Macaca mulatta: one gene and its partners. The protein of the gene in region 1 interacts with the protein of each later gene in a pairwise test. Links are inferred from orthologs where the notes say so. Each region holds a gene or a part of one and is shown on either strand. Other genes may lie near its edges. The genes, in order: ITSN2, KHDRBS1, LARP6, SYNJ2, SOS1 and WAS.

The links.
Region 2: the proteins of ITSN2 (region 1) and KHDRBS1 interact in a two-hybrid assay, tested with the Homo sapiens proteins (2 studies listed by BioGRID and IntAct, with this or other methods). The link is inferred for Macaca mulatta from reciprocal best matches to the Homo sapiens genes ITSN2 and KHDRBS1.
Region 3: the proteins of ITSN2 (region 1) and LARP6 interact in a two-hybrid assay, tested with the Homo sapiens proteins (2 studies listed by BioGRID, with this or other methods). The link is inferred for Macaca mulatta from reciprocal best matches to the Homo sapiens genes ITSN2 and LARP6.
Region 4: the proteins of ITSN2 (region 1) and SYNJ2 interact in a two-hybrid assay, tested with the Homo sapiens proteins (2 studies listed by BioGRID and IntAct). The link is inferred for Macaca mulatta from reciprocal best matches to the Homo sapiens genes ITSN2 and SYNJ2.
Region 5: the proteins of ITSN2 (region 1) and SOS1 interact in a two-hybrid assay, tested with the Homo sapiens proteins (2 studies listed by BioGRID and IntAct). The link is inferred for Macaca mulatta from reciprocal best matches to the Homo sapiens genes ITSN2 and SOS1.
Region 6: the proteins of ITSN2 (region 1) and WAS interact in a two-hybrid assay, tested with the Homo sapiens proteins (2 studies listed by BioGRID). The link is inferred for Macaca mulatta from reciprocal best matches to the Homo sapiens genes ITSN2 and WAS.

Annotation. Positions count from the first base shown.
Region 1 is NC_133418.1:100,660,662-100,665,797, reverse strand, and holds the start of ITSN2 (intersectin-2), read right to left. Parts: upstream 3,210-5,136; 5' UTR 2,635-3,209; intron 2,274-2,634; exon of another isoform or gene 1,686-2,273; intron 1-1,685.
Region 2 is NC_133406.1:208,851,018-208,855,411, reverse strand, and holds part of KHDRBS1 (KH domain-containing, RNA-binding, signal transduction-associated protein 1), read left to right. Parts: intron 1-2,365; coding exon 2,366-2,490; intron 2,491-3,592; coding exon 3,593-3,709; intron 3,710-4,394. UniProt on the Homo sapiens protein: Recruited and tyrosine phosphorylated by several receptor systems, for example the T-cell, leptin and insulin receptors. Once phosphorylated, functions as an adapter protein in signal transduction cascades by binding to SH2 and SH3 domain-containing proteins.
Region 3 is NC_133412.1:48,462,520-48,467,640, forward strand, and holds the start of LARP6 (la-related protein 6), read right to left. Parts: upstream 3,134-5,121; 5' UTR 3,060-3,133; coding exon 2,860-3,059; intron 2,790-2,859; exon of another isoform or gene 2,321-2,789; intron 718-2,320; coding exon of another isoform or gene 636-717; exon of another isoform or gene 441-635; intron 1-440. UniProt on the Homo sapiens protein: Regulates the coordinated translation of type I collagen alpha-1 and alpha-2 mRNAs, CO1A1 and CO1A2. Stabilizes mRNAs through high-affinity binding of a stem-loop structure in their 5' UTR.
Region 4 is NC_133409.1:76,849,873-76,854,952, forward strand, and holds the start of SYNJ2 (synaptojanin-2), read left to right. Parts: upstream 1-2,087; 5' UTR 2,088-2,194; coding exon 2,195-2,321; intron 2,322-5,080. UniProt on the Homo sapiens protein: Inositol 5-phosphatase which may be involved in distinct membrane trafficking and signal transduction pathways. May mediate the inhibitory effect of Rac1 on endocytosis.
Region 5 is NC_133418.1:85,930,794-85,935,187, reverse strand, and holds part of SOS1 (son of sevenless homolog 1), read right to left. Parts: intron 3,827-4,394; coding exon 3,745-3,826; intron 2,974-3,744; coding exon 2,851-2,973; intron 2,548-2,850; coding exon 2,444-2,547; intron 1,325-2,443; coding exon 1,102-1,324; intron 1-1,101.
Region 6 is NC_133426.1:48,758,008-48,763,065, reverse strand, and holds the start of WAS (actin nucleation-promoting factor WAS), read right to left. Parts: upstream 3,060-5,058; 5' UTR 3,004-3,059; coding exon 2,872-3,003; intron 2,575-2,871; coding exon 2,434-2,574; intron 1,308-2,433; coding exon 1,221-1,307; intron 1,120-1,220; coding exon 1,017-1,119; intron 904-1,016; coding exon 862-903; intron 769-861; coding exon 715-768; intron 58-714; coding exon 1-57. UniProt on the Homo sapiens protein: Effector protein for Rho-type GTPases that regulates actin filament reorganization via its interaction with the Arp2/3 complex. Important for efficient actin polymerization. Possible regulator of lymphocyte and platelet function.

The DNA of each region.
Region 1 (5,136 bases):
CTGCCCGCCTCAACCTCCCAAAGTGCTGGGATTACAGGCGTGAGCCACCGTGCCCGACCTATATAACTCTTTTTTAAATTTATGAACCAAGATGACGATACCAGATAAGGCACAGGTGCTGAAGTTAAAAGGATCTTGGTTTGAAACCTGGCTATTGTACTTACTAGCTCAGAGACCTAAAGTAGTCAAACTTCAGGTTAACATTTCACTTATCTTTTTGATGGGAGGATAATAATTACTCCTAGGGCCTTAGTAAGCTTTAAATGATTATGTAAAACACTTAGCATAGAGTCTAACATGCAGTTACGTGCTCGATAAATGACAACCATGGTAAACGTATTTTATACTGAACAAAGCATAGTTGAAGGAGACAGCCAATATGTGATCCTTTTGTCTTACTAAAGATGGAAATTTGTGAAACTCTACATTAAAACTAAAAATCCTAAGGTTACATACGAAATTTCCCACTCTTTAAAAAAGATACACTAACTACATAAGGTTAGATGATTTTTTAAAATAAGAAAGAAAAAAAAAAAAGCTTCTTGAAAGCTGCTGAGTTTGGGTGACGGGTACGTGCTATTTTTGTGAAAATACAAATTTTTTAACACTATTAATCCAATCCCCAGAACATGCCTAATACACCTCCTCATATTCAGGAGAGAGCAAGATTTTAGCCTTGAGAGGTATTGAAAAATGGTACCTTCCTGCTTAATAATTCTGTACAGGTCAAGTTTTCTCGGACGAGTTTACCTTTCATTATAAAGGTGGGCACAGGGAATAGTTATCAATACATGGAAGGGAGAAAAAATGCAAGCTTTTCAACTGCTTATTAATACTACATCAAAATAGCTGCAATGAACATTTTTTCCACGTTTTCAAAAACATCAAATACATCCACTTTATTTACTTTTGTAATTACAAGAGGCTGACAGGCACGGACCAAAAAAAAGCTCAAGGTAAACACATCAGAGTTGTCAATATCTTTAAATTTTGAAGGAAGTCATTACTAATTCGTGTAAATGTTTTATGCGATGTTTCTAGGTAGCTTTTAGGTTTTACCACTGATTAACAACATAGCACACCAGCACAGGGAGAGAGGCAATTTTTCGAAATGCTTAAGAAGCTTTAACCTACAAGAGCTTATGCTACCTAAACTGAGCTAACAACGTAAAATTTCAAGTCACACCTTGCCTATTCCTGAGTAAGCAAGCAAACACTGTGAAACAAACTAGAAGCACAGAGCAAAGCAAGTCATTTCTGTGCTAACCTTAATTCCTATCATAACGGGGTTGGCTTCATCAAAACATATTCCTATTTCGGTATTAACACAAGTTTCAAATAAAGCACACTTGCCATTGGTAATTCTGGAGCGACAAAGCGCATAATTAATAAATCCAAATGGAGCATCTTTCTACAGGATGCAAAGCCATCTGCAGTTTCAGCCTCGGTTTACCCACTCACTATGCACATGCAGACGTCTTTTTAAAAAAATAAATAAATAAATAAACTTTATCTGGCCTGAGAGATTACATCTCTCGGTGCTTCCTGTATATTCTGGAAGTCAATAACGCTGAAGGTAAATTTAACATTTCCAACTCCGGAGGAACGCGAGCGGTGGACGCCAAGCATCCGCCCACTGTCCTCTCGTGACTCGGGCTACTTTGACGCACTGGGATGCGGCTCACCTGACATTCCGCACCAACCCTTGCCAGGAAGGAAAACCAACTCCGCGAAAATAAAATGGGTCCCGGAGGAGGCGTGCGGGTGCCCCCAGAGCTCTCTTCTGCTCGCACCCCGAAAGTGAGAGGGCCACGCCGCCCCCCGACCCTTGCCGGCGTCCGCCACCTGCCAGACGAGGCCGCGGTCGGGGACCCGGGCTCGGCCGCAAGGAAGGGGTAGCCCAGCCCAGGCCCCCTCGGCGTCCCCCCCGGCCGGGCGGCAGGGGAAGGAACCCGGGGCCGCAGGTTTCCGCCCGGCACGGCCGAGCCCGCCAGGGGCCTAGCTCGGGGGCCGCCCGTGCTCCCGAGGACCCGTCCCCGTCGTGCGGAGCGCGCAGCCGCCTCAGCCCGGCCGGGGGAGCCTCCCGGCAGCGGGCGCGGCGCCCGCACCTGCCCCGCGCCTTCCGGCAGCCCCGCTAGCGGCTTCACCCACCTGGCGCCCTCGCCGCGCCTCCCGCACGTCACAGCACGACTCCGCGCTCCTCAGCACCGGCAGTCTGGGCGCGGGCAGCCGCCGGGAGACCCTGCTCTGCCGCCGTCGCCGCCGCTGCAGCCGGCTTGGTCGTCAGGCCGCCGCCAGCGAACCTGTTGCGTAGCCTGTCACGGCCGCTCAGGGCTCCGCGGGCGCCGCCTCAGCCCCACAACAACATGGCGGCCGCGGCCTCCGCAGGAAGCCGGGGGGCGGGGAGGTAGGCGCCGGGCCGGGCAGCTGACGGCCCGCCCGCTGCCGGGCACCGACTCCCCACCCTCCGGAGCCCGAAACTGCCCGGGCGTGGCTCCTCACCCCCGGAGTTCCGGGGCACTGAACCCTGAAAGTCTGCTCCGAATCGGTCGGGTCCGAAGCGCTCCTCTCTGCCCTCGGGGAGGCCCCGAAGCCCCAGACCCGGCAGCCCTTCCTGGAGCTGCGGAGACCCACCTGGCTCCTCCTCTCCGAGGTGACATGTTGAGCTTGGGTGGTGCTTTTCCTGCCACGGCAGACCCCGGTGTTTTGGAAAGTCCCAAGCAGTGCCTGCCACATCCCTGTTGCACCCCGCCACGGGGCTCTCCCTGGAACCTTCTCACTCGCCGAAGTTTTCTTCACTGATGTGGGGGCACAAATTCTCTGGGAATTGGGGGGTGGAAGGTGGGAAGGAGGTCGATCCCACCCTTGCCCATGGGTCTGTTACAGGCCTCTTGAACCCTTCTCAGGGACCTGGAGGACTTAACCATACCCTCTATCATCCATTCACCATTCCTCGCCCTCCTCCATAACACACGCGGAGCGCCCACAAGGAGCATCCTCTACGCTAGTCACACAGTAGGAAGACTCTGTCCCCGTAGAGCCTAGCACGACGAAGCTAAACTTTCCTCCCCACCCCTCGCCAAGGGAAAGGCCAAGGTCAAACTCAGAATTTGTTTCTTTTCTCCCCTCCCGGTTCCTGGTCTCCTCACAAAAGACCAGGCTTCAACTCAAGTCGCCACCGTATCCCAAAGGCTTGCCCTTGACAAGAAGCTCCGTCAAGGGAAAGGCTTTCTTTTGATTTGTGTGAGGGAGGAGTTAGTGTATGAACGTAACCAAATGAACGTAACCAAATGTCGGCTGGGCCCAGTGGCTCACGCTTGTAATCCCGGCACTTTGGGAGACCGAGGCGGTTGGATCATCTGAGGTCAGGAGTTGGAGACCAGCCTGACCAACGTGGTGAAACTAAGATGCAAAATTTAGCCGGGCGTGGTGGCAGGCGCCTGCAGTCCCAGCTACTCGGGAGGCTGAGTGAGGCAGAGAATCGCTGGAACCTGAGAGGCAGTGATCTGAGGTTGCACCACTGCACGCCAGCTTGGGCAACAAGAGCAAAACTCTGTCTAAAAAAAAAAAAAAGTAACCAAATGTAAGACTCAAGATTTTTGGATATAAGACCCAAGATTTCTATTTTTTTTTTTTTTTTTTTTTCCCTGAGACAGTCTCACTCCATTGCCCAGGCTGGAGTGCAGTGGCGCGATCTGTGCGATTGATCTGTGCTCACTGCAACCTCCACCTCCCAGGTTCAAGCGATTCTTCTGCCTCAGCCTCCAAGTACCTGGGATTACAGGCACTCACTACCACACCCAGCTGTTTGTATTTTTAGTAGAGATGGGTTTCACCGTGTTGGCCAGGCTGGTCTCCAATTTCTGACCTCAGGTGATCCGCCCACCTCGTCCTCCCAAAGTGCTGGGATTACAGGTGTGAGCCACCACTCCCCGCCAAGACCCAAGATTTCTTTTGACTTTTAGAAGCAGGGTGAGGGCTGGTCCGGGGTCCATAACTCATATCCCCATGATTTGATCTGTGTAGATCAAATTACCCCATGGCATCCTTTCATTCCTTACCTGCTGAGGCAGGTGAAGGTGAAATGGCTCCAAACCCAGGCCCATCTGAACTGGCCAGCCAGCTCACAAGGAATTTACCAAACTTCGATGACGATAAACAGGCTTTTCCCGCTCTCACACTCAGTGTTTTTCCTAACTCTTCGATTAGAACCTGACCAAGACCTGACAAACAGGTCCTGAGCCTCAGTGACACAGAGAGGCCTAACTCTTGTATCAGTCTAGGAGGCCCCTCACTTGCTGGGGACCAGCCAATCTGTCCCCATCTACAAACAAACTACCCAGGCCAAGGATAGCAGTCTTGAGCACATGGCCTCATTCGCATTGCACACTTCACCGGTAACTGATGTGCCCTTTTGGAGCCCATGTTTGAGAGTCAAAGCACCAGAATCCTTCACAACATAGTGCTCCAGAGAGTTGGCCTGAGAGGTAAAACCTATTTTTTATTCCTGTAAGGCACATAGCTTGTCTTCATTTTTCTCCCGTCCTTTGACCAATGTCATTTGTGTTTTGGGGTTCTAGACCTGGTGCAATTCACCTTGAGTCCTCTTTCCTTCTAAAGGAGGTACCAAATCCTCGGCAGGACAAAAATGGAATTTGTAGAAACAGATGCTTATAAAGAAATTTTTAAAAAAATTTAAAGCCTCCCTACCAAAAAGCTAACAACCTCTGGTGGAAATCAGGGTCCTGAATGCATGCCTACAGTATCCCAAGCACTAAAATAACTGTATCCCAGGGTTCCCGTCAGAACTTTGAGGCCAGTTTGTCCATCCTGTTCTACTCTATCACAGTCCAAAATACAAGCACCTCTAGTTATCTATCTTCTCTCTCACACATACCTCCCACCCTGTGTAATTCGGGGATAAATTTGGGCAATATTAAGCATTTGGTGATTCGATATTAAGCATTTGGTGATTGGATTTGGTGATTGAATATTAAGCATTTGGTGCTGGAGTGCAATGGTGCGATCTTGGCTCACTGCAACCTCCGCCTCCCAGGATCAAGCGATTCTCCTGTCTCATCCTCCTGAGTAGCTGGGATTACAGGCTCCCACCACCATGCCCAGCTAATTTTTTGT
Region 2 (4,394 bases), on another chromosome or scaffold:
CATCTCTACTAAAAATACAAAAAAAAAAGTTAGCCGGGCATAGTGGTGCATGCCTGTAGTTCCAGCTACTTGGAAGGCTGAGGCAGGAGAGTCGCTTGAACCCGGGAAGCAGAGGTTCCAGTGAGCAGAGATTGTGCCACTGCACTCCAGTCTGGGTGACAGAGCGAGACTGTGTCTCAAAAAATAATAATAATTAGTAAATAAATAAAAACTGTTAAGGGTATATACATTTGCAGAACGTGTTTGAGGTAGGGTATGTTTATACTTTAAGCCAATGATTTTCAAAGTATGGTCCCTGCACCAGCAGTATCAGAATTACCTGGGAACTTGTTGGAATTGCAAATTCCTAACACAAATCCCAGACTGGGTTTGAGGCCCAGCAGTCTAGTTTAATAAGCCCTCTTCTAGGTGATTCTGATGCATGAAGAAGTTTGGGAACCCTAGTCTTAAAATTCTAGAACATGGGAATATTATGTGATATTCTATTACAGAGTATTTTCTGATATTTAGAATGTTCCACTGATTTTAGGGAGTATATGTATTTTAACTATTCTCAGTGAATCATATAAGCTTTCAGTTGCTGCTCATTCCTTGGGCACTTTTCCCTCATCTCTGTTAGAACTCCTGTTATAGCACTTAACTATACTTCATTGCCACCCCTATAGTCTGGGAACTCCAGTATATAAACAGTGAAGACAGAGACCAGTCTGACTCGCTCTGTTGTATCTCCTGTGCTTTGCAAGACAGATGCCTGGCTCTTAGTAAGTCCTCCATAGTGATTAATGATTGTACCTATTATAGCTCTCCCTTCATCTGCCTCTCCATACCGTAGGAAGCACTCAAACACTTGCAGTCACTCAATGAATGAAGTTCCTTAATGGTAGGAAATCTTTTTTTTTTGTTTTTGTTTTGTTTTTTGTTTGTTTGAGACGGAGTCTTGCTCTGTCACCCAGGCTGGAGTGCTGTGGCCGGATCTCAGCTCACTGCAAGCTCCGCCTCCCGGGTTCCCGCCATTCTCCTGCCTCAGCCTCCCGAGTAGCTGGGACTACAGGCGCCCGCCACCTCGCCCGGCTAGTTTTTTGTATTTTTTAGTAGAGACGGGGTTTCACCGTGTTAGTCAGGATGGTCTCCATCTCCTGACCTTGTGATCCGCCCGTCTCAGCCTCCCAAAGTGCTGGGATTACAGGCTTGAGCCACCGCGCCCGGCCAGTAGGAAATCTTTTTGTATGCCAAGTTTCTATCTAATGAAACTGTCTTAACCTGTGAATTGAAAGTACTTTTGGGTGATGATGGATATGTCTGTGGCCATAATGGTGGTGATAGTTTCATGGGTGTATACTTATCTCCAAACTCATCATGAATTGTATACATTAATTATGTATGGGTTTTTACATATCAGTTATACTTCAATAAAATGTTTTTTTAGAAAGTACCTTGTGGCTGGGCCGGGCGCGGTGGCTCATGCCTGTAATCCCAGCACTTTGGGAGGCTGAGGCAGGTGGATCACCTGAGGTCGGGAGTTCAAGACCAGCCTGACCAACATGGAGAAACCCCGTCTCTACTAAAAATACAAAATTAGCTGGGCATGGTGGCACATGCCTGTAATCCCTGCTACTTGGAAGGCTGAGGCAGGAGAATCGCTTGAACCCAGGAGGCAGAGGTTACGGTGAGCCAAGATTGCACCATTGCACTCCAGCCTGGGCAACAGGAGTGAAACTCCGTCTCAAAAAAGTACCTGGTGCATTTTGTATCGTTTAGACATTGGCTGAATTTGGGCTAGATAATGGTGACAATATATTAAGTACTTTATGAAAAATTGCCTTTAATTAGGCATATCTACATATTTTATTAACTTCTCTTACGTCACACAACTAGTGAGTAGCAGAGTAAGAACAAGGTCTTTCAGACTCTTAAGGACTAGTATCTAGAGTACTAATGTCACTGTGGAACTTTAATGGAACTATCCATTGTATATTTAGATTATTGATTTTTGCTTTTTTCAAGGTAAGATTATATTTTGTCTTGATGCAGATTTTAATTTTTTGTTTGTTTCTTTATTCTCCTTTCCCCATCTCACCCAATTAATTTTGTTAAATCGATTTAAGAAACATTTAAATGTCTCTATTCTCACGTGAGGCTTCAGGTGAGGTTAGAAGAGCACACTACTTTTATTAGAAGCAGGCTTTGGGCTTTCTAATCAACTTCATATAACTTTAGTACTTTCAGCTAGTTTATTTCTGAAATTGGCACATTCATGTGTACTATTTGGTCTCACTATATGGTACTTCATGTTATTGCTTTAAGCAGACTTCAAAATTTGCTTTTATTTACCAGAGCAAAAATTTAAATTGTTTTTCCTGTTCAGAAATTGAGAAGATTCAGAAAGGAGACTCAAAAAAGGACGATGAAGAGAATTACTTGGATTTATTTTCTCATAAGAACATGAAACTGAAAGAGCGAGTGCTGATACCTGTCAAGCAGTATCCCAAGGTAAGGCAAAAAGTGCCTTGCATCTTTGAGTTATCTTTATAGTTACGAGAGAGTCATGGACTCCTGGGGATTGTGATGCTTTAGAAACTTAAGCCTGTGAAGCTTCTCTTTCATGCTTGCAGTACCTGTTTCTGGCAATTGAAATATCTAAGTTCTTAACTAAACATAGTTATAGCCAGGAAGGAAATGTAATAATCTTTTTATTATCAAAAAGTTTCTTTCTCTAATGACTGCTCAGGCTACAAGTTCAAAGAAAAAAAAAAAATAAAACCTGAAGAGTTGCTCTCTGTCAAAAGACTAACCTGAAATCTAAATAAAAGGAAATATAATACAAATCCTCAATTGGATGAAGTTAATTTTATTTTCTTACTAAAAGTTTACTTTTAAGTAAATGCTTTTTTTCTTCCTTTTTTTTTTTTTCTTTTTTTAGGAAAGCAATTAGTTACATTTAGTTTATCCAGCGTGCTATCAAAGGGTGCTATATAGTCTCTTCTGCTCTGAGGTCACTGCGTTAACAATGTTTATGTATGTTAAGGCATGCATAAACAGGCACAGTGGCTCATGCCTGTAATGCCAGCACTTTGGGAGGCCAATGCAGGCAGATTACTTGAGCCCAGGAATTCAAGACCAGCCTAAGCAACATAGCAAAACCGTATCTCTACAAAAAATACAAAAATTAGCCTGATATGGTGATGTGCACCTATAGTCCCGGCTACTCCAGAGGCTGAGGCGGGAGGATCACTTGAGCCCAGGAAGTCGAGGCTGCGGTGAGCCATGATCATGTCACTACACTTTGGCCTGGGCAACAAAGTGAGAGCCTGTCTCAAAATAAAGTAAAAAATAAAATAGTAAAGGTCTTAGTGTATTATGGAAGATGGCCAGAATACATCAGAAAAGCCAAATTCAGGTCTAGGAACTGCCACTTTCTAGTTTCATAATCTTAAACTAATCACTTTATTAATATGGCTTCAGCGTCCTTCAGTAAAACGGGAATGGTAATACTCTACCTTTGCAGGGTTGTTTAAAATCAAATGAGGTAATTTATGTGGAGATGTTTTTATATAGTAGCATGTATATTTAGAAATCCTTTATTTTCTGTCAGTTCAATTTTGTGGGGAAGATTCTTGGACCACAAGGGAATACAATCAAAAGACTGCAGGAAGAGACTGGTGCAAAGATCTCTGTGTTGGGAAAGGGCTCAATGAGAGACAAAGCCAAGGTAAGCTCACATTAGTGAGGCAAGAGGACATCCTAATGCCTTCTACTTGCCCAGAATGCAGTATAGATGCCTTATAGAGGCAAGAATATTGTGTATGTACAGAATGTGGCTCCTTTAAGTGTGCATTGGGTGCAAGAGATTATACACCAAGTTAATTTACTTGCTTGGCAACCCTGGAAGAGCCTAGGTGTGCCCTGGTGATAGTTTTCTTTTGGACTTTTGACTGCATAGTAATGGACAGAGCAGTAGCATCTTGTGCATTGGTAGGATTGTCTGGGAAAACTTGAAAGGGGAGCTGGATATACTAAAACTTAGTCTAAAGCAGACAAAAGACACTAAAAGGCAAACAGCACACCCCCTTTTTTGTAACCTGGAAAAGTGAGAACAATAGTGTTGTGAGAGCAGAAGAGTTTGAGGATTAGTTGGTTTGTTTTATAGCCGGCTGGAATGTGAGGCTTACTAAAAGAATGTATTCCAAAAGGAGCCATGAGTAATCCTGACTACAGAATCTAATGAGTCTTTTCCCATGCCATAGCCGCATATACTGTGTACTCTGTGACAAGAAACTTCTCACCAAAACAGAATGGTCTTAGCCTTCTGGGGTCACTTTATTTGATGAGATATGCCTGCTACAGTCCGAAAACCTATTCTTTCAATCCTCCTTTTATGTAGCCTAATGGACACG
Region 3 (5,121 bases), on another chromosome or scaffold:
AAAATAAACAGCTGTAAAAGACAATTGTGGAACAATCTGGGGAATCCTGAATGTGGAACTTGGCGATTAGCTTATCTTCAGGATTATATTAGGGAATGATAGGTAATTTTCTCAGTTGCAATAATAGTGTTAGGGCTTTATAGGGAATGTCATTATTAGGAGTTACAAAATGAAGTATTTAAGGTATAATCTTGTGTAAAACATATCTCAAATGGTTCGGGGGAAAACACATACATTATATATCCATTCACTAAATATGGCAAAATATTAAGTGTTAAATCTAGATGATGGGTCTATGAATTCTCATAGTACTGGTTTTTCATATTTTCTTTATGTTTGAAAATATGTATGTTAAAAAGGTGAGAATAAAAGGAAAGGCATCTTTTTAATGAATGAGATGTGGGGAGATGATCCATGAACATTTTAGAGGTTGTAAAGGCTTTTCTTTATTGTTCGTTTATTCTCTGTTCCCTTATATAAGCCAGGTATTAGGCTAGGTATGGAAATACGAAAAGGAGTAAGATAAGGCAGCTGCTTTCAAGGATCTCACTGTCTAGGGGAGGGGAAACACACATATCTCAACACCATGGAGTGAGTGTGATGACAGAGATATGCATTTGGTCAACAAATATGTCCTATGTGCTGGGTGCTGTGTTAGGTGCTGAAGATACAATGAAGGAAGCAAGCATGGTCCTTGAATTCACCGAGCTCCTATCCCTGTGAGGGAGACACAATGATAGAATCACAATTGTGGAAGGTGCTAGGCATAAAATGTACAGAGTACTACAGCAACAGAGAAGAAAGGAAACACAGCCAGCTCTGGGGTGGGGATTGGGGGTGGGTGGAGAAGAGGCGGCAAAGTTTTAAAGGCTGACTAGAAATCAGTCAATCAGAGGACCTAGAGGTGGGGGTGCAGAGACATGTAGACACAAAATAGCCCCCTGTGCTCAGGCAACTAGATGGAATTGCGGGAGCAGGGAAGGAAGCAATGGGCTGAGGAGATGATGTGAGTGGGTGTCGCATCTTAATGAGCAGATTGAGGAATCTGGGCTTTCTCCTGTAGGCTCCAGGAGCTGAGAACATTCACATCAGGTGATGGCTGCTGCCATGCAAGGCTGGGCCCAAACAGGGGATAGTGTGAATCCTGTTCTTGGCTACATCTCCTCGTGCTTTGGGTGCCTGCCCACTGGGCTCTGTCGGCTCCCTGAAGAACCCCAGGGATTTTCTGGGGTCAACTCTATGCCAGTGGGCAGCAGGAAGGGCTTCAGACTGAACACTTGCTGAGACTCAAGCCATGGGAGCTGGGAATTCTGGAGGAAGAGCAAGAGGGGTTCAGGCAAGAGGCCCACCCATACTGAAGCTTGGTTTCTCCTAGACTTCCATAGGGGATCTTTCCAGGCCTTAAACATAAGTAGAGCTTTAATCCTGACTAATGATACAATCTCACAAATTTAGCCCTCAGGATAGGGATGGCTATTTGCCACTGCCGCAGGAAAATAAAGTTATAAGGATAAACTACTCGGGGCTATTTTACGTACTCGGATATTATCTAACTAGGTGACTGCCTTCTCAAGACTGTGAGCTGTCAGTGACTATGGGTTCATCATTTTTACGCTCTCGGTACTTAGCACAGAGCTAAATGAATCAGGCCTTGCATTATAAAGCCACAGATCTATCTACCGCGTCATATGCTATGGTCCAGCTTTCCTGCCCTACCCTGGTGGGCTGACTTTTCTCCCCTAATAACTGTCTCTACTGGTCTGCCCCGAATCTCGGGGTCCAGAAATCTGACCCTTTAACCTGGGGAAGGGTCAGCCAGTAATAGAGAATGGCTCTGGGCCCAGTATTCATCCACCCTTAAGTTGAGGATTCTCCCAATGAAGTAGATATATGCCTGCCAGGACAATCCTGCAGAACGTTAACAGCTAAACGCCTGGGAAAGGGTCCTAGAAGAAAGAAAGCTCCTAACAAGTGCCTGTTGGCATCCCCCAGAATGTGCAAGTTCTGTCATTTTCCCACTCTCATGTCTATGTCTATGTTGTATCTCCTTTCAACAGCAGGAACAAAACCCCAGTCCTTAAGGGTCTGGGCATTAGTGGACAGGAGCCAAGGTGCCTGCGGACAAAGCTCAGGACCCGGGACAAGGTTAGACAGGTGCCATAGCAGCTCCAAACTACCCAAAACCCAGGAACCCACCTACCCAAGACAGCAAGATGATGATGCAAACATAAAGGTCGGGTGGGAAAGGCTGTGTGAAAATGGGAATCCCCCCAGAGCGGGAGGATGTAAAGCAGCAAGTCCTGTATCTGTCTCAAATTACCATGAAATCCCATCTCCTGGAATCCCCCATCAGCAAGTGTCCGCTGTACCTGGCCTGCCACCACCTAAAGACTGAGCGCATCCAGCGGGACTGGGAAAGGCAGGGCGATGCTGGCAGTGAAGGGTAAGTGGGACCACTCGCAAGGAGAGGGGAAGGCGGGCAGGGATGCACTTTGCAGGGATGTGGGGGTGGTGTCTTGAGGGAGCCCACAGAGAAGAGGCCTCCTCCAGAGGAGCGGGTGGCTTGGATGGCCCGTGAAAGTCCTCCTGGATCCCTGAACATCCCCACGTCCGGGCCCCTCAGATCCCGGCCGCCAGCCCTGGGAACCTCGGTGGGGCGACGAAGCTGCGGACTGGGGCACCGGCTGCCTCCACGGGCCGGTTCTGACTCAGGGGCTCGGCCCGGAGCTGCTTCATCCGCAGCGGGGCTGACTCAACCCCCTCTGCCCACTGAGTTGTCGCGCGCAGTCAGCGCCCCGAACTCGCGCGCGGCCTGGCGCCCCCTCGGGGCCCACCTCCCTGGCCGGCCGCCGCGCCTACCTGTGCCCGCGGCTCGGCTCCTCCTCGCTGGCGCTGCCCCAGCCGGGGCTGAGGTACCGGGCCGGGTCCCCGGCGCCCCGCGTCTCCGCCCCCTCCTCCTCGTCCTCCAACTCGTCCACGTCCTCGGCCTCCTGGATGGCGACGCGGATCTGCACCGCCGTCTCAGGCCCGGGCCGAGCCTCCCCGCCAGACTGGGCCATGGCTCGCGGGACTGCGGCGCTGCCGGGGTCCTCACGCCGCGAGGCCCAGCCAGCCGGTCGGCAGCGACTGCAACAAGGGGGCGGGGGCGGTGCGAGCGCGCCCGCCGCTCGGCCCGGGGGAGGAACAGGGGTCGCGGCGCCCCGCCCCGCGCCGCCGCCGCCGCCGCCACCACCACTACCACCCCGACCGCTAGCTGAGCGCCCGCGCAGGCGGGGCCTCGGAGGTGGAGGGCGGCTTTCCGGAGCTCCTCCCGCGGAGGCCTGTCCCGGAAGGATCCCCGCGACCCCCGATCCCTCCCTCCGTCCTCTCGCCGCTGTGGGGCCCTAGCCGGAGAAGAGGCGTCAGGGCTCCCTCCTCCTGCGCCTACTTTCACGGCGCTGCAAGGATGGGCACAGCACAGCTGACTTCTGTTTGTGCTTGACTCCGGGGGTGGCAGGCGCAGACCACAGCTCCAGGGGCTTCCAGGCCTCCTGCGTGTCTTCCCCACTGACGTGCCAAGATGAGAAAATCTCCATCGTTAGTCTCTTTGACATAATAACCACTCTAGATCGTGTCTTAGATCAGGGGCTTGGCTCCTGCCATGCCCTGTATCAGTTTTTCTCCAAGTGTGGTTCCCAGATCAGGAGCATCAGCTGTACCTGGGAACTTGTTAGAAATTGAATTCTTAGGGCTCATCCAGACCTCCTGAATCAGAATCTATGATTCAGAACTTTGTGTTTTAACAAGGCCTCTAGGTGATGCTGAAGTTCACAAAAGTTCGAAAGCCGAGGGCCTATAGAGTATGCCCTGCACATAGTATGCTCTCAGATATTTGTTGAATGAATAAAGGGAGCTATTGAAACGTCAGGATGTTCTAAAACACTGCCACCTTTACACGTGTAGCTTCAAATTGAGTTCCATCTCACCCCTCCAAATGTGACCCAGAAACTAGGGACAGGAGCGTAGAAATGAATAAGACCGGTCGGGCGCAGTGGCTCACGCCTGTAACCTCAGCATTTTGGGAGGCCGAGGCTGGCGGATCACGAGGTCAAGAGATTGAGATCATTCTAGCCAACATGGTGAAACCCCGTCTTTACTAAAAAAATACAAAAAGTAGCTGGACGTGGTGGCGTGCCCCTGTAGTCCCAGCTACTCGGGAGGCTGAGGCAGGAAAATCACTTGAACCTGGGAGGCAGAGGTTGCAGTGAGCCAAGATCGTGCCACTGCACTCCAGCCTGGGCAACAGAGCCAGACTCCAAGAAAGAAAAGAAAAGGCAAGGCAAGGCAGGGCGGGGCAGGGCAAATGAATAAGACCTGAATCTGCTTTCGTGTAGCACTTTATTTAGAGCCTTAAACATAATTTATCATATTAATTTTTCACACTGGGACCCCCAAACAACAGAACCCTGCACCAATATATTTGTTCTGATATAGGAAAGCAAGTTAGGATCGGCTCAGGAAATGAGGCCTCCTGGAGGGCAGTGTCCTTGTAAAAGAACACCGTGTATAGGGTCCTGGGTTTCTGGGCAGGGCTGGGGAGAGATCCAGGGGCCCAGCGAGGACAGTCCCTCTTCTTAAGGACACTAGAATCTGTGTCCCTTTCTTTCTCGGATCTCTCTTTTGATAGAAGAGGTCCTAAAATAAGTAAGTAAAGGAAGAGAGAGAGACCTTTGGTGCTATTGCTGTTTGTGCACCAGAACAGCTCACAGCCCTGGATCTGAGCTACTGGGAAAGGAAGAGGCAAGAGGTTGACAACATCTTTTTCCAGCCAGCTGTGCCTCCCTCCAGGGCTACAGAGGCTATAAGTCCTCTGCACAGACCTGTGATGAGGCTCAGAAGGACAGAGCTGCATCAGCCACCATGCCTTCCAGTTTGATAATTTCGGTTCCTGACTTTCACAAAGTGATACCCATTATCTGTCTCATTTAAGCCATCTCGTGTGGCAAAGACATCAGGGGTTATTATCCCTACCCACAGTGATGGCTCACATTCGTCTCAGGTTTTATAGTTTATGAACAATTCATACATGTCATTTCAGGGTTTCCAAATGCCTGATCATAAGAGTCCCCTGGGGACTTTTCT
Region 4 (5,080 bases), on another chromosome or scaffold:
CATCTGCAAAAGGTGCCGGTGCCTGGGTACCCTTGGTCTATCAAGCCAGTGCGCATGTGAGGAAGCTGCTCCCTCTATTGCCCAGGTGGGCTGTCCCACCCAAAACCAGAGAGCAGAGGCCCCAAAACCCAGCAGGCTCTTGGCTCACCCAGCTAATTCTCAGAGACGGAGGAACAGCCGCTGTAGTTCCTGGAGTCTGAGATGTGCATTTTAACATTGTCTATATCAGGGCAGAGATGACTATCAGTGGCATGTTCTAGTTTAATTGAAAGCTTTTTTTCTTTCTTTCTTCTCAGTGGTATATAAAATAGTGGTTCATTTTACAGTTGATGGTGACTTGGATTCTATAAGCTGTGAAGCTCAAGTGCTGGTCCTGACTGCAGGAAAATTTCTAAAATAGGTATGGTATGCCACTGTGCAGGATTTTAGACTATGTGATGCTAGTTAGGAAAGAGGAGAGAGAAATAAATGGAAGACTGGGTCCCCTCCCTAAGGCCTTACCACTTAATTTGCAAAACAGGGCTAAGAGAAAAGATATAAAAACACTTCTCAAGCAATATATATATATACATATATATATTATATATAATCTGGGTGTTATATAAGCACTATTATCTGGGACCTCAGCATTCCAGGAAGGCTTCCAGGAAGAAGTGAATTTGGGGTCAAAAAGTGGGTCACAGGCTCATATGCCTCACTGAATGGGCATACTGTTTTCATGAGGTAGTAATATTTCCATTTACACAGAAAGAAGCTGCTGCGACAGCTGATGAGCATCATGCCTGGGATATTGAGCACATCATGCTTGACCTGGGCCAAGTGTGTGGGCAAGGAAAGGGGCTGAGGGTCAAGATGATCTCTGCTGGGGTTGCTCAAATTTATTACCCAATCATCCCCTGAGAGGTTGTCCCCTTGTCTGGTCATTACTGAATGTCTGCAGGGGCATGGCAATGTTCTGCTTGGCTCTGGGGGCTCTGCCTTTCCTAGGACAAGTCCCAGAGACAAACAGCTTGGCCCAGTGCAGCAGAATAGGGTGAGAGCGGAACTGAGTTCGTCTGCCGGCGGGATGGAAACAGCTGATGGAGGCTTCTCCACGATCCCCACGTACCCATGTACCCATCACAAGAGAAGGGAATTAAGCCAATTAAGCCGCCAAACCACCCCAAAGGGTGATTCCAACTCAGCCCTAAACACCCATCCCCACTCCACCTCCCCTGCAGCTCTGACAGGCTGAGCCTCGGCGCTAGAACCCGGCGCCAGAAGGCCGGGCCACAGGTGACTGGGCTGCGAGGCCACACTCCAGCGTACACGCGCGGACACGTGCTGGTGTCCAGGGCCAGTGGGAGAGGCGCTGTCACCATCTGACAGGAGAGGAAGGTGGCGCTCAGAGAAGTCAGAGTCACGTGGTAAGTGGGGGTCGTGGTCTGGGGATCACGGCTCCAGGTTTCTTCGCGACAACGCACCGTTGACCCCCAACACCTCTCCCTGGCGGGGACAGTGACCGCAACAGTCTCCGCAATAGAACGCTAGTGAAAAGTAACCTTTCTCCAGCCCGCTCCACGCGCTCCGCACCCGCTAAGCGTCTCCGCGAATTAACTCAGTTTTCCTCGCCGAAGTAGCCGCAGTTATAACCCCGCTTCACTGCAGGGAGACCGAGGCACGCAAGGTCGAAAGGACTCGTCCAGGGTCGCAGGAGCCGACCACACAGGGAGGCGGAGCGCCCCCGGCGGGAGCAGTCAGCGGGTCCAGCCTGGCGGGCTCCCAGGCCGGGCTGCCCATATAAGGCTGCGGGCGGCCAGCATCGCGGCCCGGCTCTCGGGGGCGCCCCGCGCGGGTCATCCTCCTCCGCGGCGAGGAATGCGTGGCATCTGGGAGGCCCTTCCGCTCCACGCCCGCCCACGGGAAGCCTCGGCCCCGGGGCGCGGCCTCGCGCAGCTGCCTGGCCGCTGGGGGGAGCGCGGGGCCGGCGGGAGGCGGCGGTGCGCCCTCACCTGCCCCAGGCCGGGGAGGCGGGTGTGTGGAGGAGGAGGAAGGGGAGGAGGCCGGGAGGAGGCCGGGGAGGAGCCTGGCGCGGCGGGAGCGGCGGCGCAAAGTGAAACTCTGGGAAGTTGCGGGCGCGCGGGGAGCTGTAGCGGGCAGCGCGCCCTCGGGGGGACGTGGCCCCGGCCTCCGCCCGCAGCGGGCCCGACCCCTCATGGCCCTGAGCAAAGGGCTGCGGCTGCTGGGGCGCCTGGGGGCCGCGGGGGACTGCAGCGTGCTGCTGGAGGCGCGCGGCCGCGGCGACTGCCTGCTGTTCGAGGCCGGCACAGTGGCCACGCTGGGTGAGTCCGGCCCGGGGGCAGCGACGCCCGGAGGAGAGGGCGCCCGCCTTCGCCCAGCCTTGGGAAGACGGGTACCCCACTTCCCGAGGGAATCGGGCGGCGCGGGGACTGCCGGGGCGTAGGGGTCGCGCGCAGAGGGGTGGCCTTTTGAATGAAGTGGCACTGGGGACTCTAGAGAGCGCTCGGGCTGGGCGGGTGGTGCACGGAGGCTGGCCTCCCCTCCACGGGGATCTCCGGCCCGCGCGGCCGGAGGATGTGTTTGCTGGAGAGCCGGCTGGGGCGCTTTGCGTATTCATGAGGATCCCCTGGGGTTGACTGAGGAGCCGGCCTGACCCTGTGCCAGGCGCCTTTTCTTTTGCACCTGTCGATGAAACCAGTGATTGCCCTTTGGTTTGTGTTGGCGGCTCCACTCCTGGAGGGGATGGGGACCAAAGCCCCAAAAAGGTTCTGGAGAAACTGCTGATGGCACCTTTGTCTCACGTGAATACTTGGTCAAGAAGCATCCGTAGTGCAATTTATAGAACTTGTAAGCAAATATACCATGACCCTACCTTTATGCTGTCTTAGATCCTGCCAAGCCAGCGAATTTCACCTATGGACTTCAGAAGCCTTGAAACTGGCACTGTGCTATGGGCTTTAGGACATTATCTCACTTCATTCTGACAATTCTACTAAAGAGTTATTATTATCCCCATTTTGCAGATGAGCAAACTGAGGCCCGAAGAGGCTAAGAAAGTTGCTTGCCAAGGTGACATCATCCACCTGACTTTTATGTGGCTGTTTCTGTAATGTCATTCAATACATGGCTTCCTGGTATCAGTAACCTGGATCCCTTGTTTTGTGCTCACCATTATAAGGAAAGCCTGGGTAGCAGCAAAGCACGTGAAACCAGGTCTGATTGTTAGACTTGTAAATGTGGACACCGGAGAGTAGGCTCCCACCAGTAGGCGTCCAGCTGTAACAGCTTCCCGGTATTCCTAGCTAAACAAGGTGCAGCCCAGGGTCACTTGTGCTTGAGGTGGTCGGCAAATGCAGCAGGCAGTCACTTGTAGGATGCTTCATAGATTAGATGCCTCTAACCTTGTTTTCACATTTGCTTGTGTCGACTCTAGTTTAGATGTAGTCTTGGAAGGACTCTCCTATTTCTGATTCCCTAATCATTTAATTAACATGCATTTATCCAGTTTGTTCTCAGTCACTTGATTACTGAACCAATGTCTCCAGTATTCTCAGCATCAAAAGTGGGCAGCGAATTGTAGATTAAGTTATTTTCAGGTTATTCCAATGTGTGCTGTCCCGAAGAGTCTAAGTTTGGTCATTTGGTATGGCCTTAAAAGAAAACCACAGAAATTTTCATTCCATTTTAGATGTCTACTTCATACCACATTTATCAGAAGCAAAAGATTAATTTCACGGTACAAAACTACTGTTTCATCAAATAGATTAAAATGTCCTGGCCGGGCACGGTGGCTCAAGCCTGTAATCCCAGCACTTTGGGAGGCCGAGACGGGCGGATCATGAGGTCAGGAGATCGAGACCATCCTGGCTAACACGGTGAAACCCCGTCTCTACTAAAAATTACAAGAAAATTAGCCGGGCGAGGTGGCGGGCGCCTGTAGTCCCAGCTACTCGGGAGGCTGAGGCAGGAGAATGGCGTGAACCCGGGAGGCGGAGCTTGCAGTGAGCCGAGATCGCGCCACTGCACTCCAGCCTGGGGCACAGAGCAAGACTCCGCGTCAAAAAAAAAAAAAAAATGTCCTTCAGTTGGATTACAGCAACATTAAGTCAGGTTCATACACATTCAAGAATTATTTGAAGCAGCTTAGAAAAATTTTATTTTTTCAAAAGTGAAGATTTAAAAATGATTAATGACAGCAATGTAGTGCATATTTTCCATTAGGAGCTGGAGTTTGGGCTGAGATTTACATCACGTTGGTGATTACAGTATACCAGATTTTAGAACAGAGAATGTAAGAAAGGAATTGGCTCGTCTTCAACTCATGTGCAGTCCACATTTGTCATTTAACCTAGCATTCATTTTTCAGTAGAAAAAACTTAAAAAAATCTTTTCTTTTTGAAACAGAGGCTTCTTCTTTTGCCTAGGCTGGCATGCAATGGCACAATCACAGCCCACTGCAGCCTCAACTTCCCAGGCTCAAGCAATCTTCCCGCCTCAGCCTGCTGTGTAGCTGGAACTACAGGCACGTGCCACCATGCCTGGCTGATTTTTTTCTTTCTCTTTCTTTCTTTTCTTTCTTTCTTTTTTTAATGGCGTCTCACTATGTTGTCCATGCTGGTCTTGAACTCCTGGGTTCAGGTGATCTTCCCGCCTCGGTCTCCCAAAGTTTTGGGATTACAGGCATGAACTACTTACTGTGTCTGGGCTGAAAACTTAATTTTTTTTTTTTTTTTTTTTTTGAGACGGAGTCTCGCTCTGTCGCCCAGGCTGGAGTGCAGTGGCGCGATCTCGGCTCACTGCAAGCTCCGCCTCCCGGGTTCACGCCATTCTCCTGCCTCAGCCTCCCGAGTAGCTGGGACTACAGGCGCCCACAACCGCGCCCGGCTAATTTTTTGTATTTTTAGTAGAGACGGGGTTTCACCGTGGTCTCGATCTCCCGACCTTGTGATCCGCCCGCCTCGGCCTCCCAAAGCGCTGGGATTACAGGCGTGAGCCACCGCACCCGGCCCTTAATTTTTTAAAGTCTGTTTTATTTAAGTGAAATGAAACTATTTTTAAAAAGCAGCTGTAGCATTTGGTG
Region 5 (4,394 bases), about 15 Mb from region 1:
CAGGTGCCCGTCACTAAGCCTGGCTAATTTTTTGTATTTTTAGTAGACAAAAGGTTTCACCATGTTGGCCAGGCTGGTCTCGAACTCCTGACCTTGGGTGATCCACCTGCCTTGGCCTCCCAAAGTGCTGGGATTACAAGAGTGAGCCACAACGCCCGGCCTTTAAAAACTGTTTTTAAAAACTATTTTTATGGAAATACCTGTGTACTTTTAGTGTTGCTTTATAGTAGCATTTTGCTTTGGGCAAGGTTGAAACTCCTCCATAATATCTTTTCCAGCATTTATAAACATTATTAATAAATTAGGGTGACAAAGTAGACATTTAAGTAATGATATCTGTTATAAATCAGTTCAAAGAGGGTACAGTAATCAATGCAATTCCTACATCTTTTTTTTTTTGGTCTAAAGGAGGAGAGGAAAAAAACCTACCACAAAAGGGTCCTAGGAAATAAACAAAATAGATTCTAATACTGTAATTTTCAGAAATATGATTTTTAGTGGGAGATCTATAAATTTAGCTCATTTTCTCATTTAGCTATTAAAAAATGAATAATTTAGTTTAAGATTCTAAATAGTCCCCATTTAAAATCAGAAGGACATTTTTGAGATAATTATATCAATGTAGTATGATAAACTAAAAAAGACTATAATGGCTATAAGTTCACAATAAAGCAGTAGCCAACATTTATTGAGCCCTTACTTTGTGCTAGGTAATGTACATACATTGACTTTCAAACCTCAAAACAGCCCCAGGAGTACGTACTATCAGTAGCCCCATTTTACTCTTGAGGAAAATAAGGGGCAGAAGGATAAAGTTACACAAGGAGGTTAAAGTTGCCCAGGGTCAGCAATTAGTAAAGCCAGGATTTGAACCTAGCCTTACCAACTAGGGGTGACCACAGAAAGACAGAAGGTGTAAATTCAGCTGGAGGGACCAAGGGAGTGAAAGAACAGGAAGTGCCTGCCTGGCCTCATTACTAGACACTTCATGTACGATTTCAGTTAAGTCTTAGGACAACCCTGTAAGGCAGAAATCAGTATTTCATTTTAAAAATTCACTCTTTTGAAATGATTTTTCAGCTTGAATGTTAAAGTACATACCGGTATAGATCTGATTCAAGTAAAGTGAGTTGTCGAGCAATTTCTATTGGGTGTAAGGTGAGCAGGTCGAAAGTCTCTATGTGCCCAGGTCTGCTTATATGCCACTCAACTGTGGGAGGTGAACTCTGAAATGTAATATTATGACCTGGTCCATTGTCTCTTGCAATTTTTTTCCTTTGGATTATTTTAGTGATGGATTCAACCCATTTTTTCATTGCTTTACCTGCAATACATTATATTTTAAATAACATTTAAATATTCTTTATTTAATATTTTTAAAATGGTTTAAAATCACACAGATGATACCTGAACGTATCTTTGCTATAAAAAGTTCAAATGATCAAAATGAAAAATACAAGTTCCCTTTTTCCATTTCCCGGCCCCCATCCTAATCTTACTACTCTTCTCCACATGGGTAACCACTGTTAGTAGCCTGGCACGTGTTCTTCCAGATCCTTTCCAAATAAAATTAGAAAGTACTTAATTTGTAGAGACTGTCCACCCCATTGTTCTGATCTTCAGTTTAATGTATTATTTTATAATCCTCCAAAAGGTATATCTTATGTAAATCACAAGATTTATAAGGATAGATTATACACACTATTAATCTAATTCACATTGCATTTTATAAACCAATAAATATCAGTGCCAGAGGACTGATTCCTTCATTTTTAGTGTGAGTTTTGATGTGGCTCTGTTTTGTATTGTACATTTAAAGTACTATTATTTAACTATTTTCTGATTATCATTTAGAGCATACAAAGGAAATAAAAATAAGTTTGTCTAAGACATCCTTAGAGCTATACACTCATATAATCTTTAAAACTAGAAGGAAAACCTTGGAGATCAACAAACCTAGCTCCTCATGTTATTGATAAGAAAACTGAAGTCTAAAGAATCTAAGTGATTTTGCCCAAAGTCACATATCTGATCAGTGGTAGTGTTAGACACAAACTCTCAATTTAATCCACTCTGCTTCCTCTCTGATTCTCTCTATTCACCTGTGGCCCACTCGACCTCCATCAGTGGTGTTATAATGGCACAACGTAATTCCCAAACGCCCTCATACTTTGGGATATGTATGAAGACTTGGCTTAACCAACTCTTAAAATAATCAGTAAGTTGATTCAGTAAATGAAAATACATTGGATCAACAGGGTGACTGTTGAGCAATTTGCAGGTCTAAATGTTGTTTGATGAAAATTTTTAACTTTTTCAAATGGTTATGCTGGTACTATTACAAACATCTCGTATTACTGAACCACAATAACATCAATTGATAGTCACCGTGTTGGTACTTTTATTACATATAAAACTAAGCACCTAAAAAAAAAAAACATACCTCTTACTGTTCCAATAAATTCTTCCATTCGTTGCAAAAGATATGCATCTCTTTCAAAATCATAGAAGTGGTGCTCTACCCAGTGCCGACATACATTTAATACTCTACAGCATTAACACAGAATTGAATTACATGGGAATCAAACATAAATGTTTATCACAATGCATGGTACAATACAAATGAAAACACAGTAACTCTTACCAAGTTATTCTTATCAGGGTGCCTAACACTTCCAAAATTCTACATTAAGACTTACACTATAATTTCTGATAACTGCTATAATTAGTAAATTTAATTTATTAATTTTATTGTCACCCCGCTCCTTGTTTGGGAAAGGTCCTTATATACTTCAACACTAAAATGAAAGTTTGATAAAGACTTATTTGCTTCATTTATTTAATGCTTACCGCAGTTGCACAGGCTGTATATATTCTTTTCTAAATCTTTTCAGTTCTGCACTCAAGGGTTGATCTCCATTCTCTATAGCTATGCGATCAGCTTCTGTTGGCTCAGGCTCTGGAATTTCAAACCTAACATAAAATAGAACAAATTAATGAAAATACTAATTATATCGAGTTATACAAATAGAAAACCACAAATGTTTCCACCTGTCAGCAAAATCAAGAGAATACTGTAAAAAATTACTAAAAATATGCATGTCAGTGTAAATAAGTGAGACTTCTATAATATTAAAGGTTAATAAAATTATTTTTAAAATTTTAAAATAAATTAGTACTTGCCAATATAGATAAAACTAACTACAAACAAAATAAAGAATACATGCAAATTCTAAAAATAAATGTGACTATAAAGTTATGGGACTGATATTCATTTTTGGTCTGTGGAATTACTCTAAATCAGGTGACATAATCACTGTTAAGGGTAATTCCAGAAAAACTGACTGCTCTTTGTTTGGATACATGAAATATTTTCCTTCCATCACAGTATTTGTTCACTGACAAGCTCCATTTTACTCAACATGAAGTATGTTTGAAAACTTACTTAGAACATCTAACTCATCAAAATTTGAATTTCTCAACTCTAAATTATAAATTTTATATAGATCGTTCTGTAAATTTGAAATTTCAAATACCGAGTTTTCACATACAAAAAATAATTTTTGTATTGAAATAATAAAAGCTAACAAAATAAATGTTCATTTAAGAGATTTTATTTATTGAAAAAGTGCTCGTGAAGTATATTTTAAAGCTCATCTAACATTTCTGAAAAACATAAGATCTTAGCTTAATCTCTTTTTTAACAAAAAATAATGAATTTAAATATTTTTTAAATGGACAGACCTTTCTATTATAAGACTCAGTAGTTCTTGAGGTTTGCAAAAGGATCTGTATGTTGTAAGAAATGTCCGAACAAAATTGGGATCTAAGAAGAAAAAGGAAAAATATCTTATTAAACTATGTGATTCAAAATGATTAAAACTATTATTTACATTTTCAAAATAGATCAAATAGTCAAGTTTAAAAGTTCCAAAATGTTTTGACAAACAGACTGGGCTTGGTAATGCACTGCTAGCTTAGTGCCTCCTAAATTAGTGGTGAAAACATTGATATTAAAACTTTACATCAACTTATTTCTTGCCCTCTGCACACTGACAAGATGATCTTAAAGTCATCGGCCATAGGAATGAGCAAGAAAGAAAAGCAAAGGTAAAGCAGGGAACCAGGCTCCCCTCCCACCTGCTACCAGGATCTCAAAGCATCACCAGTTGGTTTATCTCCCTTATAAAGAGAAAGGCCACAGCAATAACCCATTACTTTTCCTTTCATCAAGATTAGTTTATCTAGGATTACTTGTCTAGCTTTCTTTAAATCATGTTAACAGAGCATACAACTGGAAACTGGAATTTATAAAGTAGTAGCTTAAGTTAAATACAGTTTTTAAATTATTTGCTAAAAATCTCACAACTGCTTAAAGATGCTTACAAATACTT
Region 6 (5,058 bases), on another chromosome or scaffold:
CAGGGTTCTGGATGTCCACTGTCGCCAGCCCCAGGGAGAGCGGACCCACTGGAGGGCCTGTGGGGAAAATAGGGTGGTTGGCCCATTGACCCATTTACCAACCAACCAAAGCACAGGGGCAAGAAACGGAAGCCTTGGGGGAAATCTGTGTGTGTGTTGGATGGCCATGGAGGTTGTGGGTGAAGGATTCAAGTAGGGTTTATGGAGAAGTGGGTGGATCCCGCAAACAATTCATACATTCACTGATTCATTTATTTTTTTCATTCCCTCATGCTTTATCATTCACTGGCTCATTGACTAATGGATTTGTTAAAATTTTCATTTACTCTTGTATTCATTCAATCATGCTTTCTTCACTGACTGAAATTTGTCATTTAGCCGTTTATTCACTGTTCATTCATTCACTCATTCACTAATTTACTCAGTCATCCATCTACCTTTTCATTCATTTATCCACATACCCATTCACCTATGCATCTATCTACTTAGAGTTTTATCCTCCCATCAACTCATCCCTCCACTCAGCCATCTACCACCAATCCATCCACCCATCCATCGATCCACACATCCATGCACCCGCTCGTCCATCCACATACCCATCCATCTACCCATACATTCACCCACTTACGCACCCATCCAACTGCTCATTCCTCCATTCACTCTTCCACCTACCCACCCATCCATCCAGAGACACAGGGAAGAATCAGCACGCACCTCCTTGGTCTCCACCTGGGTGCGGGGGCAGGGGTGGAAGCCCTCCTCTTCTCTCTGGGAAGATAGAATGTGTAGAGAGCTATCACAACCCTGCCACAGGTTCCTGGGCTAGCCCCTTATTACCGCTACTTGCACTAGAGTTCTCACCTTCATTGGCTGGTGGTGGTGGTGGGAGTAGCTGGCGTCTGTCTGTGGATAGACAGATGGATTGGGAGCCAGGACCATGAGAGATAACTTTTCTAGTTCCCCATGCTTGCACTCACCTCTGCCCAACTTCCTTTCCTCCCCTGCGGCCTCCTCACCTCCACTTTGCCTCTGATTCCTTTTTTGTATCTTCTCCTGCACCAGGGCCCGGAAGGCCTGGGCCTCGCCCTCGTCTGCAAAGTTCAGCCCCGCTTGGCAGTCCTGCACATATCTTGGGGTCAGCCGCCTCCCAGGTCCCCCCACAGCTTTCCCATCTCCTCTCCACACCCCAAGTGAGGCCCGAGGGCTGGTTGGTCACTTACATCTCCAGCGAAGGTGTGGAAGAAGGGGGTGGGGGTGGAGTAGACAAGCTGTGAGTACAGCTCCTGTTCCCAGAGCAGCCGACCAGCCTGGAGAGGTGTAGGGTGGGAGGCACAGTGGCACTGAGGCACACCAGGGGTGGCAGGCCTTTGTTAGCTGGGCAGGGAGCAGGGTGTCTGGATTTGGGGGCCTCATGGTCTGGTTTGGAGATTTCCAGCTCAGCACCAGAGAGCTGAGATCTAAGGGTGTGGATGTGGAGTATAGTCTGGGAGCCATACACTTTTGTGAGAGGTTTGGATTTGGGGTTCGGGGCCCTAGATGTGGGACTTGGGAGCTTGAATTTCATAATTTAGGACTCTAGTCTTAGGAAGTTGAGGCTCATTCATAGATTCAATCCATGCCCTCCCCTGCCACCCCAGCCCCAATTCATGACAGGTAGGATTCTAGTATTTGGGAGTTGGAGATGAGATTTGAAGTTCAGACACGTAGACTTGGGAGTTTTGCGGAGGGTCCAGCTAAAGTAAGTGCAATTTGGGGTTTGTGGAGAAGAGTTATGACTTAGGAGTTTGGTGAATATTTGACAGTCTTGGGATCTGGAAGTTATGCTGGGTCCATCTTTATGGGTTTAGAAGGATGAATTTGGGGCTTAAACCTAGAAAGTTCAGGTCGGGGAATTGTGGAAAAGACTTTTTGCTTAAGAACCACCTCGGTATTTGAGTGTTCAGGAATTTTAATATGGGAATTCTGGGGTCTGTGCTGTGGATTTAAAAGGACAGAATTGGAGTTCAAGGATCAATGGAATATTCAACTTTGGGGTTTGTTGAACAGATTTATGACTTAGGAGCTTGGCAAACATCTGGGGTTCAGGAGTTTTGATGAGAGATTCCTGGGATGCAAAATGTTGAGTTTAGAATAGATTTGAGGTTCAGGTACAAATACAGTGCTCATTTATTGGAATTTGTGGAAAAGATTAGGCTTAGGCAGCAGACTAATACTGGGGGCTTTAGAGATCTTGATATGGAGACTGGGGCCAGCCATTGCAGACTTAGAAAGGCAAGCCAGAGTTTGCCATCTGGATGAGTCTTTGGTTCTGGGGCTCAGGGATTCACTGATCAGGTCTGAGGTCTTGGGACTGTGGACACATATGGACACAGATCTGGGTTTGCGGGTTGAGAACTGGCTTGCAAGTCCAGTCAGGGGCGGGGGGGGGGTCACCTGAAGGCCGTAAAGGCGAATGAAGTAGGACTTCTGGGGGTTATCCTTCACGAAGCACACAGCCCCACAATGCTCCTTGGTCCAGTGCTCAGCTCCAGGGGGCAGTGCCAGGTACAGCTGAACAACTGCAGTGGCCAGCGTCTGGGAGGGGAAAGCAGGGGTCAGTGGAGTCTGGTCAGGGGTAGCCACAAGGTCTTGGAGCCAGACCTGGTCCTTCCTGCCTCATGACAGTCATGGGCCCGAAGGAAGAGCTGCAGCCAGAGGGAAGGCAAGTAGACATTGAGATCTTCCTGGGGAGGGTGGATGATAACAGGAGAGTCTAGGAGAGAAGATGATGGAGAGGGAAAGGAGGAGCGGGAGGAGGGGAAGAGAGAGAAGGAGGAGAGGAAGAGGAAGAAATGGTGGGGACGGGGCGGGGGCAGGAGATCCCCAGCTCACCAAGCATTTTCGTCCAAGCATCTCGAAGAGTCGCTGGTTCTCGTGGTCCTGGAGGAGGGTGGAGGGTATGTTCTGTTGAACCGCTGGTGCTCCCCGGCCCCCAGGCCTTCCTCCCATTGGGCCCCCACTCATGGTGCTTTCTGCCCTCGTCTTCTCTGGCGAGGCTCTGGGTGCAGGGTAAGAAGAGGAACTTCCGCAGTGAGCAGCAAGGGAACAGGAAGTGCAAAAAACCACAAGGGACAAGGGAAACAAGTCCTCCAGGGGCCCCTTGGTGGGCCTGGCCTCCTCCTCGTTAGGCCGAGCTTGGGCCCTCTACCATCAGATTGGAACCCTCCTCCACTTGACTGCTTAGACCCATCTTTTGGATCAGCTTGGGTCCTCCTCCTCCTTTCTTACTGTCTGAGGCCCATCTCCTTCTGACTGGCTCAGACCCTCTTCCCTCTGGCTGGCAGTGAGAGCTTAGCCATTGGCAGCACATCTGTGTGCAGGGCACCCTGTGGCAAGGAGTAGTCATGGGCCTGGGTGGCCTCCTTCCTAAAGCACCCAGGTAGCCTGAGGCTGAAGCCCAAGGCCCCTAGTCCTGAAGGGTTACTACACTAAAACTTTTCCTTTTCGCTGGGGACAGTAGCTCACACCTGTAATCCCAGCACTTTGGGAGGCCAAGGCGAGCGGATCACTTGAGGTCAGGAGTTCGAGACCAGTCTGGGCAACATGGCAAAACCCCATTTCCACTAAAAAATACAAAAATGAGCCAGGCATGGCGGCATGCACCTGTAGTCCTAGCTGCTCAGGAGGCTGAGGTAGGAGAATCGCTTGAACCCGGGAAGCGGAGGTTGCAGTGAGCTGAGATTGCACCACTGCACTCCAGCCTGGATGATGACAGAGCAAGACTCTTGTCTCAAAAACAGCAACAACAACAGCAACAACACAACAACAAAAACCCTTTTCCTTTTAATTACAGAGTGAGCCCCTGTGATCCACGCCTATCCTGAGTGCTTAGACACTGCCAATGACGCATATGCCTCTGGTTCACTTCCCCATCCCTTACCCTTGCCTCCCTGCAGCTCCCAAATTACTTTCTGCTCATCTTTTTTTTTTTTTTTTTTTTTTTTTTGAGATGGAGTCTCACTCTGTCGCCAGGCTAGAGTGCACTGGCGCGATCTCAGCTCACTGCAACCTCAGCCTCCCAGGTTCAAGTGATTCTCCTGCCTCAGCCTCCTGAGTAACTGGGACTACAGGCCCGCGCCACCACGCCCAGCTAACTTTTTTGTAGTTTTAGTAGAGACAGGGTTTCACCATGTTGGCCAGGATGGTCTCGATTTCTTGACCTCATGATCCGCCCTCCTTGGCCTCCCAAAGTGCTGGGATTACAGGCATAAGCCACCGTGCCCAGCACATCCCTTTAAAAAAAAAAAAGGAACTTTATATCATATATGAATGCCTGAACAACATCTTGTTTAATTTTCATTGCACTTGAAGTTTGTAAAAGCACATAATCTTCAAAGGCTTGCTTTCTCCCCACTGGACATCCTAGTTTTATCTTAACACTCACATAGCACTTAACGTGTGTGCCAGGCACTGTTCTGATCCCTTTGCCCAGAGTGCGAGCCAGGCAGGCCGGGTGTGAGTGCACGTTCTCGTCCCTCCATGCCTTCGCTCCCAGCTGTTGCTATGATTCCTGTTTGCCTGTAGCGGTAGCTGTTCATTTATTTCCACTGCCATACAGCATTCAGTGGTGTGCATGTGCAGCCTGGGTGTCCACATTTTCCTGTAACAGGCCTTTGGGCTGTTTCTGGTTCTTGCTGTTGGGAGCAACACTGCAGTGTTCGCTCCCACAACATCTCCTGTGCGGGAGTCTACATCGGCACACAGGCTCTCAGAGGGGAATCTGAGGGCGTAGGGTTTGCATGTCTCTAACTTCTTCAGGTGATGACAGACTATTTCCACAAGTGGATGCTAGCTCAGTCCCTGGGCCTCCCCAGGCCTCAGTTTCCCCATGTATTAGGTAGGCCATTTGGGGACTTGAAGCTCTCAGATACAGGAACAGCAGTGTGGGGGAGCTGAGCAGGTTTGGGGTGTGACTGACATTCCCAGGTACCTGAAGGAGGAACGGCACATCTCCAGGTGGGACCTGCAGTCCTTCCTGGAAACTTTCATGGCTCCCCACACATGCAGGTTCAAAGCCTC